3 linked regions of the Daphnia pulex genome follow. The protein of the gene in region 2 binds, or shares a complex with, the protein of the main gene of each other region. Links are inferred from orthologs where the notes say so. Each region holds a gene or a part of one and is shown on either strand. Other genes may lie near its edges.

Region 1 (3,119 bases), on a different chromosome or scaffold from region 2:
TTTGGCAGCCTCTTTCTTTAGAATTTGTTGTTTTCTTACTCTTTCACTTCTATTTTCGCTCTCAGGGAAACTGGATGCATTTGAAGTTTGCCAGCCGCTTACAAGCTAGAAAAGCCCTAGCCAGGAATGGCAGACTTTTGACTGACACTCTCATAATTGGTGTAGTTCCCTGTACTGATGGGGTAATTCACACGATCACCAGAAGAAAAGATAACTTTGATGTCTAATTTAACTTTTTGTATTTTACAGTCCATTATGGAGGAAAATAGAAAGGAAAACATGCCAGGTATGAGCACTCCAGCCATGAGAATCACTTCAACTCCACAACCAGCAATCTGGGATCGAAGCAGTTCGTTTGCCTTGGGAACCAGTGGAACTCCCTCTGCTTTGGATCGTAGCAATCTTAGACCACTGACTCAGACTTACAAAGGAGCACAAGCTGATTATGAGGTACTAGAATATTATCACGTATATGGTGTCCTAAAATTCTAACGCAACACCTTTTGTGTTTATCGACTCTCAAGGTTAACCAACAACGAACGACAGCGCAGCCCAACTCGAGTTTGGTTTCCAAAGCAATGGATTTTGTCTTTGGCTGGTAAAATGTTCAATGTATTTAAGGATAAGGGATTGACAGGATGCACCCTGTTGTTTTAACGAGTCTGTATTCCGATGGATCAGTTGATTAAAGAGTAATTTGTGAAGAGACTTTGTCGATGGAAGGAACAAAACAAGAAATGAGTGTAATTGATTGGGGTCGAAACAATTTACTTCGGGTCATCCAGTGTGGCGCGCGCCAAGTCCGTCAGCCGTGGATATTTTACCTAATAAAACGAAATAAAACTAGTAGAAATCTTCAATGACATGGAAAGATGTTTAATCTGCTGCATCACAATAAAAGACTGTCCAATTCAACTTTTTCCTGACACTAGTTCAGAGAAGTATTCTGACAATTTAGCACCCACTTTTCTCTGATCAAGCTGATCTTGAGACCACATGACCAATTTCATCAAGGAGACTAGTTGAGGGGTTGTGGATTCACGATGCTCTGCCTTGAGGATTGCGGCGTTCAACTCGCTGGCAACTCGTTGACGGTGAGAAGTATGTAGTAGATCTCCAAAGGGGGATTTTTCAGGGTCATCAAAGGCCAATAGTGCTAGGGTTCTCTCCAATTCCCCTAAGATGGCTGGATTCTGTTCTCCACGTTCAGCTAAATGTTCCTATTTTAATAGACAAACTCTGGGATGAAAATTATGTGCAGATGACTTTGGTAAGTTGAATTTACCTGAGCAAATTTCAAAGCTTCTTCAATATTTTTTTGCCTGATGAGTTCAATGAGATGTTGCTGTTGGAGGTGGAAGAAGAGATAACGATCTGAATCAAGTAAGTCTGGATGCAGTTGATTAACCAAGGCTGTTGCTTCCTGAATTTTCCCAGCCTGAATGGCATCCCTTATTTTGATCCTTTCATCCAATCTCTCCAGCTCCGCAGGAGCCTTGAAGCCTGCCTCTAATGCAAATTTTTCAGCAGCTTCTTTGAAACCCTCTGCAAAGTTCATGTCATAATGCAATCTGGTTAAAAAGGAGAACAACACAACTAGAAAAAAAATAATTTTACCAGTCACTAAGTAGTTCATCACTAGACGATTCATGTTCGTACGCGGTAGATGAACATTTTCCAACTTTTCCAACCATTCTTGCTTGCCAATTTCTGAAGGCTTGTCTGTAAATGCGGTCATTTTCTACTACTGTACACTGTTTCGATCAACATCGGGATGTAAATAAAAAGAGCGGTGGCGCTGTCAACTACACAGCAAAACTGCAAAATGGCCGACTATTAAACGTCAGTCACGAAATATTAAAGCCATGGTTTCCCGAGTTCCGTGAAGTTTATCTGCAGTTATGGAAGACCTTGATCGAAACAAGTAAGCTCAATTGTTCCTTTATCAAGCTAAACCATCTTATCGGTCAAATTGATTCATTGAGTGACGAACGGCCGTACAGTTTGTTTGCGTTCAGCGTCCATATTCACAGTGACATATAGTAAAGGGTGGGTCTACCAACAAGCTATAATAGCTGTTATGAAACTTTTAGTTTTTGGCGTCTCGTTTCTTTTTTTATTTCTCCAAGCTTACAGCTACTCCTAATGGGTTTTGTAAGTTACTGCAAAGGTTTCCTCCAACTTATTCCCTGGATTGAGTACTGCCACTGATGTTGACGTCAACTCACTGTTTTTACCCCCTTGAATCTGACCGAAACAGACTTGTGATGTAAATACCAGAGGATTAATCTCAACTTAAGAGAGTTAAATTACAAGACGAGTGGTAATTAAATCCCATCCATGGAGAGGATGACGGACTGCCTGTCAGTTGTTTCAGGAATCTGATGAGATGGAAATTCATTCATGATTCAACAACGTTGGATGATCAAAAATGGCCAAGATCACCATTTGAGTATCATTAGTGTAGCTAGCCAAGGTATGTATTTTGGTTTACGTCTCTAACACCTCCTCAACTCTGCCCTCAATCAGCGCGATTTGCATTGAAAAAAATTGACATTTCGGTTCAAGGTGGCGATGATCGGCCTAGGCTTTTCTTTCATTTTTTTCGGCTGGTGTGTGTGACGCGTTCTCTCTCTCTCTTTGGGGGATTAAAAGCACACACGGTCTGTCGGTCGTTCAGTCCGTCGGTGCTGGTGTTGATATCCTAAAGGGCGTCAACACTCTCTCATGCTAGCACTCACTCTCTACTCATCGACTAAACAAAAACCGTTGGGCCGCTGCCGCCGCCGTATACCGGTGAGAAATAACAACCCCGAAAACTGAAAAAAAAAGAGCTTCTAGTCGCGATAATATTTGGATTGCGCCGGAACCGTTTTCTTCTTCCCTTGGAAACCGTTCGAAAGGTGATGGCAGATTTTTTTTCCCCTTTAAAAAACAAGAAGATTTAGATAAAGAAAAGACACCAGCATACACACACACGCAGTTACAACGATGAAAAAAGGAGTTTTTTGTTTTGTTTTTCACGGGATGAACAGCGACGACGACGACGCCCGCATTTTGGGTTTCCGCGTCCCGTATTCCCTCCCTCCGGGTCCCTCCTTCCCCTCTCAACGCAACTC
Region 2 (4,351 bases):
ATCTTTTACATTAGGAATGAACAAAAATAACAAATTACCTGTTCCTTGAGCTTCTCCAGCATCTCCTTTTCAATCTCTTCGCGTTTTTCAGCCGCCAGTTGAATCTTGGAATGGATTTGCTCCTCCATGGCTTTGGTCTTTTCTTCACTGCTCTGTTTGACAGACTTGATATGTTCTTCCTGCAATAAATTAATTTAAATTAATTTCTAGTTTCCATGCGAATAATTAAAGACATTATTACGTGAAGGCGTAGCTTCTCTTGAAGTTGTTTGATGATTTCGTCACGCTTCTCATCAGCTGATTTCAGCTTCTCGTCAATTTGCTTTTGGATCTCTTGAAGCTTGGTATCGTTAGTCACCCTGACTGTTTCCACTCGTTCCAACTAGGCACGATGAATAAGTTTACCAGATAACTTATCTTTACAATGAAATACACTTACATGCTCCTTCAACTTGGTCTTGAGAGAGTTCAAGTGAGCCTCTCTCTTCTCCTGAGATTCCTCCATCTTCGCATCTAAATTTTCTTTGGTTTTGGTGACAAAAGTTGAGACAATCTCTTGCCTCTTTTGCACAGCTTGGTTGATTTTCTCATCCACATCATTGATGGACCTATTAGCCTGGAGAAATCACAAAACACCCCTAAGTAACTGTGACGAGTTAATTTGCTTCTTTGACCAACCTCACGCCTTTCCTTGGCCGCCAATAGCTTCCTCTCAATCTCTTCTTCAGAGGGCTGAGGACGAGTTGGTGTTGAAACAGTGAGTGGTGAAGGGGGGCGATCGCTTACTGGTTCTGCTAAGATAACCTAGTTGACAATGAACCATGAAGTTATGTTTCAGTGAACATGTGGCAAGACTTTACCTCATAACTCAATCCTCCCTTGGATTTCTCTTCCCCACGAATAGCAGCAACTGCAAGCACCATAATACCAAGAGTTAGGCAACTCTAAACCACAAAAGATTGACCAATGAAATCCTACATACCTTCTTGATCAATAGGGCTAGACATAGCTGTAGACACCTAATCGATTAAGATCAATAAAAAGATTACGTCATGAATTCAGGCGTGGTCCTCGTCACGATCAATTCCAACAAAGGAAGTTTAAACAAGGATTCACAATTCAATTGGCAAGTACAAATATTAACCCTCTACTCAAATGACAGTGTAAATTAACGTTGAACAATCAATTACCTTGGCAAAGACAAAATTATAAAGGAAAAAAGTCTCGTGGAGGAGTTCGAACCAACGTTCTCGTTTGCAAGCGAAATGGCGAATGAATGCAAGTGAAATAGAATAACGAAACTGGCTACTGGGGTTCAGTTGACATGGCGACCGCCTTTTGTTACTTACCCCCTCCCCATTTTTGCGGGCGCGGGAAAAGTGAAAACTCTTGCCCTGCAGCTGATTTTTATGAAAAACGAAAACTGGCGCCCTTTTCAATTTTACAACGCCATCTAAAGTGAAAAAGTTGCACTATGTACTAGTAGCGTCTGCTAGCAGACAATCCGGCTTGAGCCATTTTCGAACAGAGACGCATTTTCATTTGGGAAGAAAAATGACTAAACTAATTCATTCAATCATGGTAAAGAATTCGGGACATTTTTCCATTCTGGTTATTTTTATCAATTATTTGGTCATTTTAGGACGTTGAGAGCTGTAACTCGTACGTTGACAACCTTTACGATGTAGACAGTGCAAAATGCCTAGATGCTGTCATGTAAATATTTTTGTATTTGTATTCCAAGAAAGGAAAGTGATAATCCAACAGTTGTTTTTTCATAGATACATCAAAAACATGATTATCGGTTCCAACAAGGCCAAGAATATGATCATTCAACAGGGTATTACTCCAAGATTGATTCAGTTACTCGACGATCCTATTGGTGGTGATGATCTCAAATTGGAGGGTAAATATCACATTCAGAAATAGGGTGTCACAACAATAGATTCAATCGGTTTTCTTTGTTGATTTTTAGTGATAGCAGTGATTGGATCCCTTGCACGAGGAGATGAAAACCACATTAAATCCCTAACAGCAGCGGGAGTTATTCCTTTCCTACTAAACAGTAACGTGATTTCCTTTGTAGCTAATTTGAAACTAAAATCTGAAACTTTTCTTTTTCATGTGACAGATGTCTGCGCATCAACAAATCCTCAAGTTATTGAATTTGCCCTCAGAGCCCTGCAACAGTTATTTCAGAACGAAGCGACAAAGACTGACCTCCTGTTTGCAGATTCAAGATTGGTGCCCCAGCTGTTGAAACTCATGCCACTGTCAGTTTGCAACCAAATATCTGTCACTTCCATCTTTACCAATGCCTGCAAGGTGGATAGTACAATGTCAATAATGCCTGAAAGATTGATACATTTCAACTTTTTTGAACCTAGACGTCTGAACACCAAGCGATTCTCTGCGCCAACGGAGCCGTTCCAGCCCTGGCCGCTTTGCTCAATTCTCCTGTAGGCGATGTTCAGTTAGCCACTTTGGACGCTATCGCTTCCCTGTGCTATCAGAACCAACGCGTTTCGGCCCTTCTGACTGTCTCCAGCTTCGGCGGCAAATCCGTGACGGACCACTTGGTGACTTTGATGGCCCGTGACAGGCCGGTGGCCATGCAGCTTGTAGCAGCCCGCTGTCTGACCTATCTACATCGAGCTGGAGCGATCTGTGCTGACGATGGCAAGATCTTGTACAAGACATTGCCTTGTCTGGTGCGGATGTGCCGGAAAGAGAACAGGCGAACGGAAAAGGCTCTTGGTGCGGAAACACTGGCCTATCTGATAGAAGTTGACACGGAACTGCAAAGAGTGGCCTCCATTTCCGACCACCTCATTCAAAATCTTTCGCTATTTTTGGCTAAAACTCGAGATAACTCGTCGGTGCAGCAACTTGGAGTCGAGTCGATTGACGAAGACGCTCCTGCCAGCGCCAAAGAAGTTCAAAATCTGAAACAAGCCGCTCTCCGGGTAATTCATTCAATTCCATTCAAACGAGAAAGAGATACTTAATATGATTCCTTGTCAAAAGGCATTTGCATCGTTGGGCGCCAATGACGAAGACATCCGTAAAAGGATCATTGAGACGGACCAGTTGATGGATCACGTGGTGACGGGATTGACGGAATGTGGGGATCACAGAGTCCAGTTGGCTGCCGTCCGGTGCCTTCATTCTCTGTCTCGATCTGTCCAGCAACTACGAACAACTTTTCAAGTAATTCAATCACCCCCCCAAACAAATTTGAGCCAAGGTCTGTAACAAGGTGACGTTCAATTCAATTAGGATCATTCAGTGTGGAAGCCGCTGATGAAGTTATTGCAGAATGCGGACGAAGACATTTTGGCCGTGGCGTCGTCGACGCTGTGCAATTTGCTGTTGGAATTCTCGCCGTCCAAGGAGCCCATCCTCGAGTCTGGTGCCGTGGAACTTTTATGCAATTTGACGCGTAGAGAAGATTCCGCTCTGAGACTCAACGGCATTTGGGCCCTGATGGTATTTGTTCATCGAGTCCAAAGACAACAAAATTGATTCAATTGACCCCCGTCTTATATTATATAGAACATGGCGTTCCAGGCCGAGCAGAAAATCAAGATTCAAATCTTGTCGTCGCTGGGCACGGACCAAGTCTTCCGGCTCCTCTCTGACCACGAAGTTGGCGTCGTCATGAAAACGCTTGGCTTATTGAGGAATTTGTTATCGACAAAGCCGCATATTGATTTGATTATGGCCCAGCACGGTCGTCAGATCATGCAGGCCGTCATTCTGATATTGGAGGGCGAGCACAGCCCCGACGTCAAGGAACAGGCCCTGTGCATTCTGGCCAATATCGCTGACGGTGAAACGGCCAAGGAATTCATCATGTCCAATGAGGACGTCCTGCGCAAACTCACCAATTACATGGTATCTAATATTTTTAAATCCATCCATCGCCTCCCAAGTTTAATACGTCAATTCTATTTTCTTCCAGTCGCATTCGAATGTCAAACTGCAGACGGCCGCCACGTTTTGCATCGGCAATTTGGCGTGGAACGAAGACAACGGCTGCCTCGAACGTCAGGCGCGTCTGAGGGAATTGGGCGTTTATCGAATTTTGCAGCAACTCCTCTGCACCAACGACGCCACACTCTTCGAAAAGTAAAACGTAGAATTTCATTGACCTTGACGTTGCATAATAACGTTTCCTTGTCTTTAACAGGGTCAAAGCGGCACTGCAGCAGTTCTCCTAAACAAATCGGAAGTCTCCTACACCACGCCCCTATCAAATATTTGTGTATTTTACATAATTTGGAAATACTCGGAATCCGGCAACTGTTTATGTCTCATAAGATAACTTTATTATCATCATTATTATAAT
Region 3 (3,193 bases), on a different chromosome or scaffold from region 2:
GGCCGATCTCGGAGATTAGAGATGGGACGGGCGTGGCAGAGAACTTGAAAATCAAGCAGCGCATGGCGTGTGCCGGCGGCAACTGGCGAGTGTACTCTCCTCTCACACGCGGAACAGTGTAAACAAAAGGAATTTCGAAGGTACCACAGGTAAAAATTCCTACTACACAACTCCGCACCTTGTTGGTCTCTACAAATTCTTTTTTCAATTTTACATGGTTTCTTTTTCTCGCATTTTTTTATGGCAGTCGCATTGTCGAGTAGGGCTTTTAATTGTTCGGGGAATTTATATTTATTTGAGAGTTCGTTGTCTAATCTTTGTTGTGTTGTGCGCATTAGATGTGGATGATGTCAAATTTGTCATCAACTTCGATTACCCCAACTGCTCCGAGGATTACGTCCACCGTATTGGTCGTACTGGCCGCTCCCAACGCACAGGAACTGCGTACACATTTTTCACTCCCAACAATTCCAAGCAAGCCCAGGATTTGGTGAACGTTTTGACAGAGGCTAACCAAGTTGTCAATCCAAAACTCTACGAACTCGCATCTTCCAATCGCGGTGGAGGAGGTAATTGTCGATGTCAAATATTTGTTTCGTTCTTGATTTTAATGAATATGATGTGTTGACAGGTCGTTCCCGATGGGGAGGCGGTGGAGGCTATGGTGGCCGTGGAGGATACGGAGGTGGAAACCGAGGATATGGTGGCGGACAGTCTTACAACTCTGGTAAATAAACTTGATTGTGATATTGGTTGAATAAAGTATTAAGTCTCTTATTTCTTTGTTTATTTAGGCCGTTCTTGGGTGGAGCGCTAAGACGGACTTCAAACCTAGCACCGATATTCAAAACAATTGTCAACCTAGATTTTTTTTGAATCAACATTTAATTATTCCAATTTAAACAAGTAAAAACGAGGAAGTCTCTTGGCATTTTCATAAAATCCTGTCCGAGCACTAAAGCTCCGTTCCCGACACCACGCTTCATCTTTTCGTTTTTGTAGGCCAATATTTTTTTCGACGTCTTTTCATATCTTTGGCAATTACATCAGCCATTTCACTGACACGTTACAATGTACTCTTATGTTTGTTCGAGTTAACCGGAATACAAAGTAATCGTAACCACCTATGAGTAAAATTGTTTGACTTGAGGTTGTCGATCTGGGTTTTTGGTTAAATAAATTTCTAAAACTGGATTAGTTGGCAATTCTACAAGTGTTCCAGTTGTAGTAGAGAAGGGGTGAAAATAAGTGAAAGGAGTATCAAGCATATTTTTTTATTCTTATGGTTACGTTTCTTTTATAAGCTTTGAACTCGATAGGCTCTGCGTTAAAAATAGTCCTTCAAAACCAGCCCTAGTTATTTCACATTTATAATTCACGCTTCGTACAGTCCATTTTTGTCCTTGTAGAATGTGGCAGTTATTTTTTGTAGGTAGTTGACCAGGCACCAGCCAGATTCGACTCAATAAACGCAAGTGTGAGCAAGGAGAGCAATTTGGCAACATCGCATTTAAATTCAGTGGTGCTTGATTTTTTTTTGGTGTCAGGCAGTAGTCGAGTAAAGCTGTGATCATAACAGCTTGTGTGATTTGTATTGTAGCTTTGATTTGTAAGAATCTTAAATTTTAATCCCAAACTTCTGTCCACTCTGTCAAAAAGTGTCCGATGCCAGTCAAAACAGACGTTCACGTACCACCGCCGGCAAATTCGCATCAGCCAGGAGTGTGTCGATCGCTTTTATACAATGGTTCTCGATTTCAGGGTCATCAGAAATCTAAAGGAAATTGTTACGATGTAGAAGTTGTACTTCAGGTAATGATTCATTAAAATGAGTAAACTGTTTATTTCTAATGTTTCAATTTCTATGTTCAGCATGTTGATGAGGAGAATTCATATTTATGTGGCTACCTGAAAATCAAAGGTTTAACCGAAGAATTTCCCACTCTTACTACTTTCTTTGATGGTGAAATCATCAGCAAAAGATTCCCTTTCCTCACTCGCAAATGGGATGCTGATGAAGATGTTGACAAGAAACATTGGGTATGCGAATTTGATACTTTAGACTTCCCGTCAACTAATAATGAAATGTACCTTTTCAAATTTGCAGAGCAAGTTTCTGTCATTTTATCAATATGCAAAAACTTTCAATTCAGATACTTTTGACTATGATGCCATGCAGGAGACAGATTATGTCTTCATGAGGTGAATATCTTTCAAATTACCAGTAATTGGTCAATCTGATATTGTGACATATGTTTTTACGGTCAGATGGAAAGAACATTTTCTGGTGCCTGATCATACTATCAAAGATATTAATGGGGCCAGTTTTGCTGGTTTTTACTACATCTGTTTTCAAAAGTCGACAGCCACGATCGAAGGCTACTACTACCACCGCAGTTCAGAATGGTATCAATCGCTGACGCTCACTCACGTGCCTGAGCACAGCATTCAAATTTACGAATTTCGATAAAATTCCTTCCACCAAATATCTTGTTTGTTGAAAAAAATAAGCATGAATAACGCCCATCCCGAGTTGTAATAAGAGAAAATCGTTTCGCCTTCTAAGCTCCTTTGTATTTCTTTTCCTTTTTAAGAGGACGAACAAAAAAAAAATACGAGAAAAATTCGTTTAGCAACACGCTGAGAGGATTGACGTAAGGAGACAAAAAAATCATCAACAAAAAAAGAAAGGGAGAGCTGGTAAAACTTTCGAGATAGCTATTGACAATAGAAAAATGTTAAAAAAAAAAGAAGCGACAACGAAATCATGAAATGACGCAGGTGAGTTTTGCGTGAACATGACTGAGTCTTGACTTTTTGATGGCCATCTTCATTTCGTGGTGATGGTTGGGGTGGTGCGGGTGGTGTCGGGCACAGCCGCTGCTAAGGGCGTACGAACGCAGCTGCGAATGAAGCGTTGGTGGCAGAGGAAGCCGATCTATGGTATAGACAGAGGTCTGCGAGACGATTGAGCGGCAGCACAACTCTTGGAGCGATAACACTGTTGATCAAAATTTTAAAAATTAGGATTTCAATTGGGATTGAACAATATCTAAATTCGTTTACACATAACTAAATGGGAACTAATTACTCTAAAGACACCTATGTAAAAATTAGGCGTACACGTTTAAGACTTAAGAAAACAAACCTCGATTCGTCCGCCAGAGCCTTTCCATCCCGTTTCTTCTAAGCG

Evidence for each region.
Region 1: the proteins of armadillo repeat-containing protein 8-like (region 2) and glucose-induced degradation protein 8 homolog are in contact, whole or in part, in a cryo-EM structure (PDB 7NSC), measured with the Homo sapiens proteins. The link is inferred for Daphnia pulex from reciprocal best matches to the Homo sapiens genes ARMC8 and GID8. Residues at the interface, in NP_001350870.1 of Homo sapiens: Asn45, Val47, Ile48, Gly49, Asn50, Val85, Ser89, Met92, Arg127, Arg130, Arg161, Tyr162, Tyr166, Leu200, Ser201, Tyr202; in NP_060366.1 of Homo sapiens: Ile83, Ala84, Asn87, His90, Pro91, Glu92, Leu94, Asp95, Thr96, Tyr101, Tyr183, Glu184, Asn185.
Region 3: the proteins of armadillo repeat-containing protein 8-like (region 2) and glucose-induced degradation protein 4 homolog are in contact, whole or in part, in a cryo-EM structure (PDB 7NSC), measured with the Homo sapiens proteins. The link is inferred for Daphnia pulex from reciprocal best matches to the Homo sapiens genes ARMC8 and GID4. Residues at the interface, in NP_001350870.1 of Homo sapiens: Glu309, Pro310, Asp311, Val312, Asn371, Glu373, Arg406, His409, Arg413, Ser414, Val415, Gln416, Arg419, Thr420, Gln423, Asp424, Val444, Ser448, Cys451, Asn452, Leu455, Phe457, Ala483, Val486, Asn487, Trp490, Met493, Asn494, Phe497, Gln498; in NP_076957.3 of Homo sapiens: Leu104, Ile105, Pro106, Pro107, Pro108, Pro109, Ile110, Gln114, Pro115, Gly116, Val117, Ala118, Thr119, Gly125, Gln146, His147, Tyr154, Cys156, Tyr158, Phe174, Glu176, Phe239, Val241, Pro242, His244, His292, Ser293, Ala294, Pro295, Ile296.

The regions. Positions count from the first base shown.
Region 1 is NC_060019.1:2,413,493-2,416,611, reverse strand, and holds glucose-induced degradation protein 8 homolog, read right to left. Parts: upstream 1,797-3,119; 5' UTR 1,739-1,796; coding exon 1,618-1,738; intron 1,546-1,617; coding exon 1,286-1,545; intron 1,221-1,285; coding exon 966-1,220; intron 916-965; exon of another isoform or gene 825-915; coding exon 768-824; 3' UTR 649-767; downstream 1-648. Other genes in the region: nucleoporin NUP35-like, read left to right, coding at 66-182, 250-450, 525-602; AT-rich interactive domain-containing protein 1B-like, read left to right, coding at 1,902-1,924. UniProt on the Homo sapiens protein: Core component of the CTLH E3 ubiquitin-protein ligase complex that selectively accepts ubiquitin from UBE2H and mediates ubiquitination and subsequent proteasomal degradation of the transcription factor HBP1.
Region 2 is NC_060025.1:9,364,893-9,369,243, reverse strand, and holds the start of armadillo repeat-containing protein 8-like, read left to right. Parts: upstream 1-1,456; 5' UTR 1,457-1,554; coding exon 1,555-1,581; intron 1,582-1,642; coding exon 1,643-1,716; intron 1,717-1,781; coding exon 1,782-1,906; intron 1,907-1,975; coding exon 1,976-2,065; intron 2,066-2,131; coding exon 2,132-2,325; intron 2,326-2,387; coding exon 2,388-2,966; intron 2,967-3,027; coding exon 3,028-3,210; intron 3,211-3,279; coding exon 3,280-3,489; intron 3,490-3,555; coding exon 3,556-3,897; intron 3,898-3,964; coding exon 3,965-4,131; intron 4,132-4,192; coding exon 4,193-4,223; 3' UTR 4,224-4,351. Other genes in the region: stathmin-4-like, read right to left, coding at 39-179, 242-382, 440-616, 679-804, 861-910, 983-1,007. UniProt on the Homo sapiens protein: Component of the CTLH E3 ubiquitin-protein ligase complex that selectively accepts ubiquitin from UBE2H and mediates ubiquitination and subsequent proteasomal degradation of the transcription factor HBP1.
Region 3 is NC_060026.1:848,855-852,047, reverse strand, and holds glucose-induced degradation protein 4 homolog, read left to right. Parts: upstream 1-1,251; 5' UTR 1,252-1,665; coding exon 1,666-1,812; intron 1,813-1,872; coding exon 1,873-2,040; intron 2,041-2,107; coding exon 2,108-2,202; intron 2,203-2,268; coding exon 2,269-2,470; 3' UTR 2,471-2,565; downstream 2,566-3,193. Other genes in the region: probable ATP-dependent RNA helicase DDX5, read left to right, coding at 339-569, 632-727, 795-817; ras-related protein Rab-40B-like, read right to left, coding at 2,766-3,001, 3,149-3,193.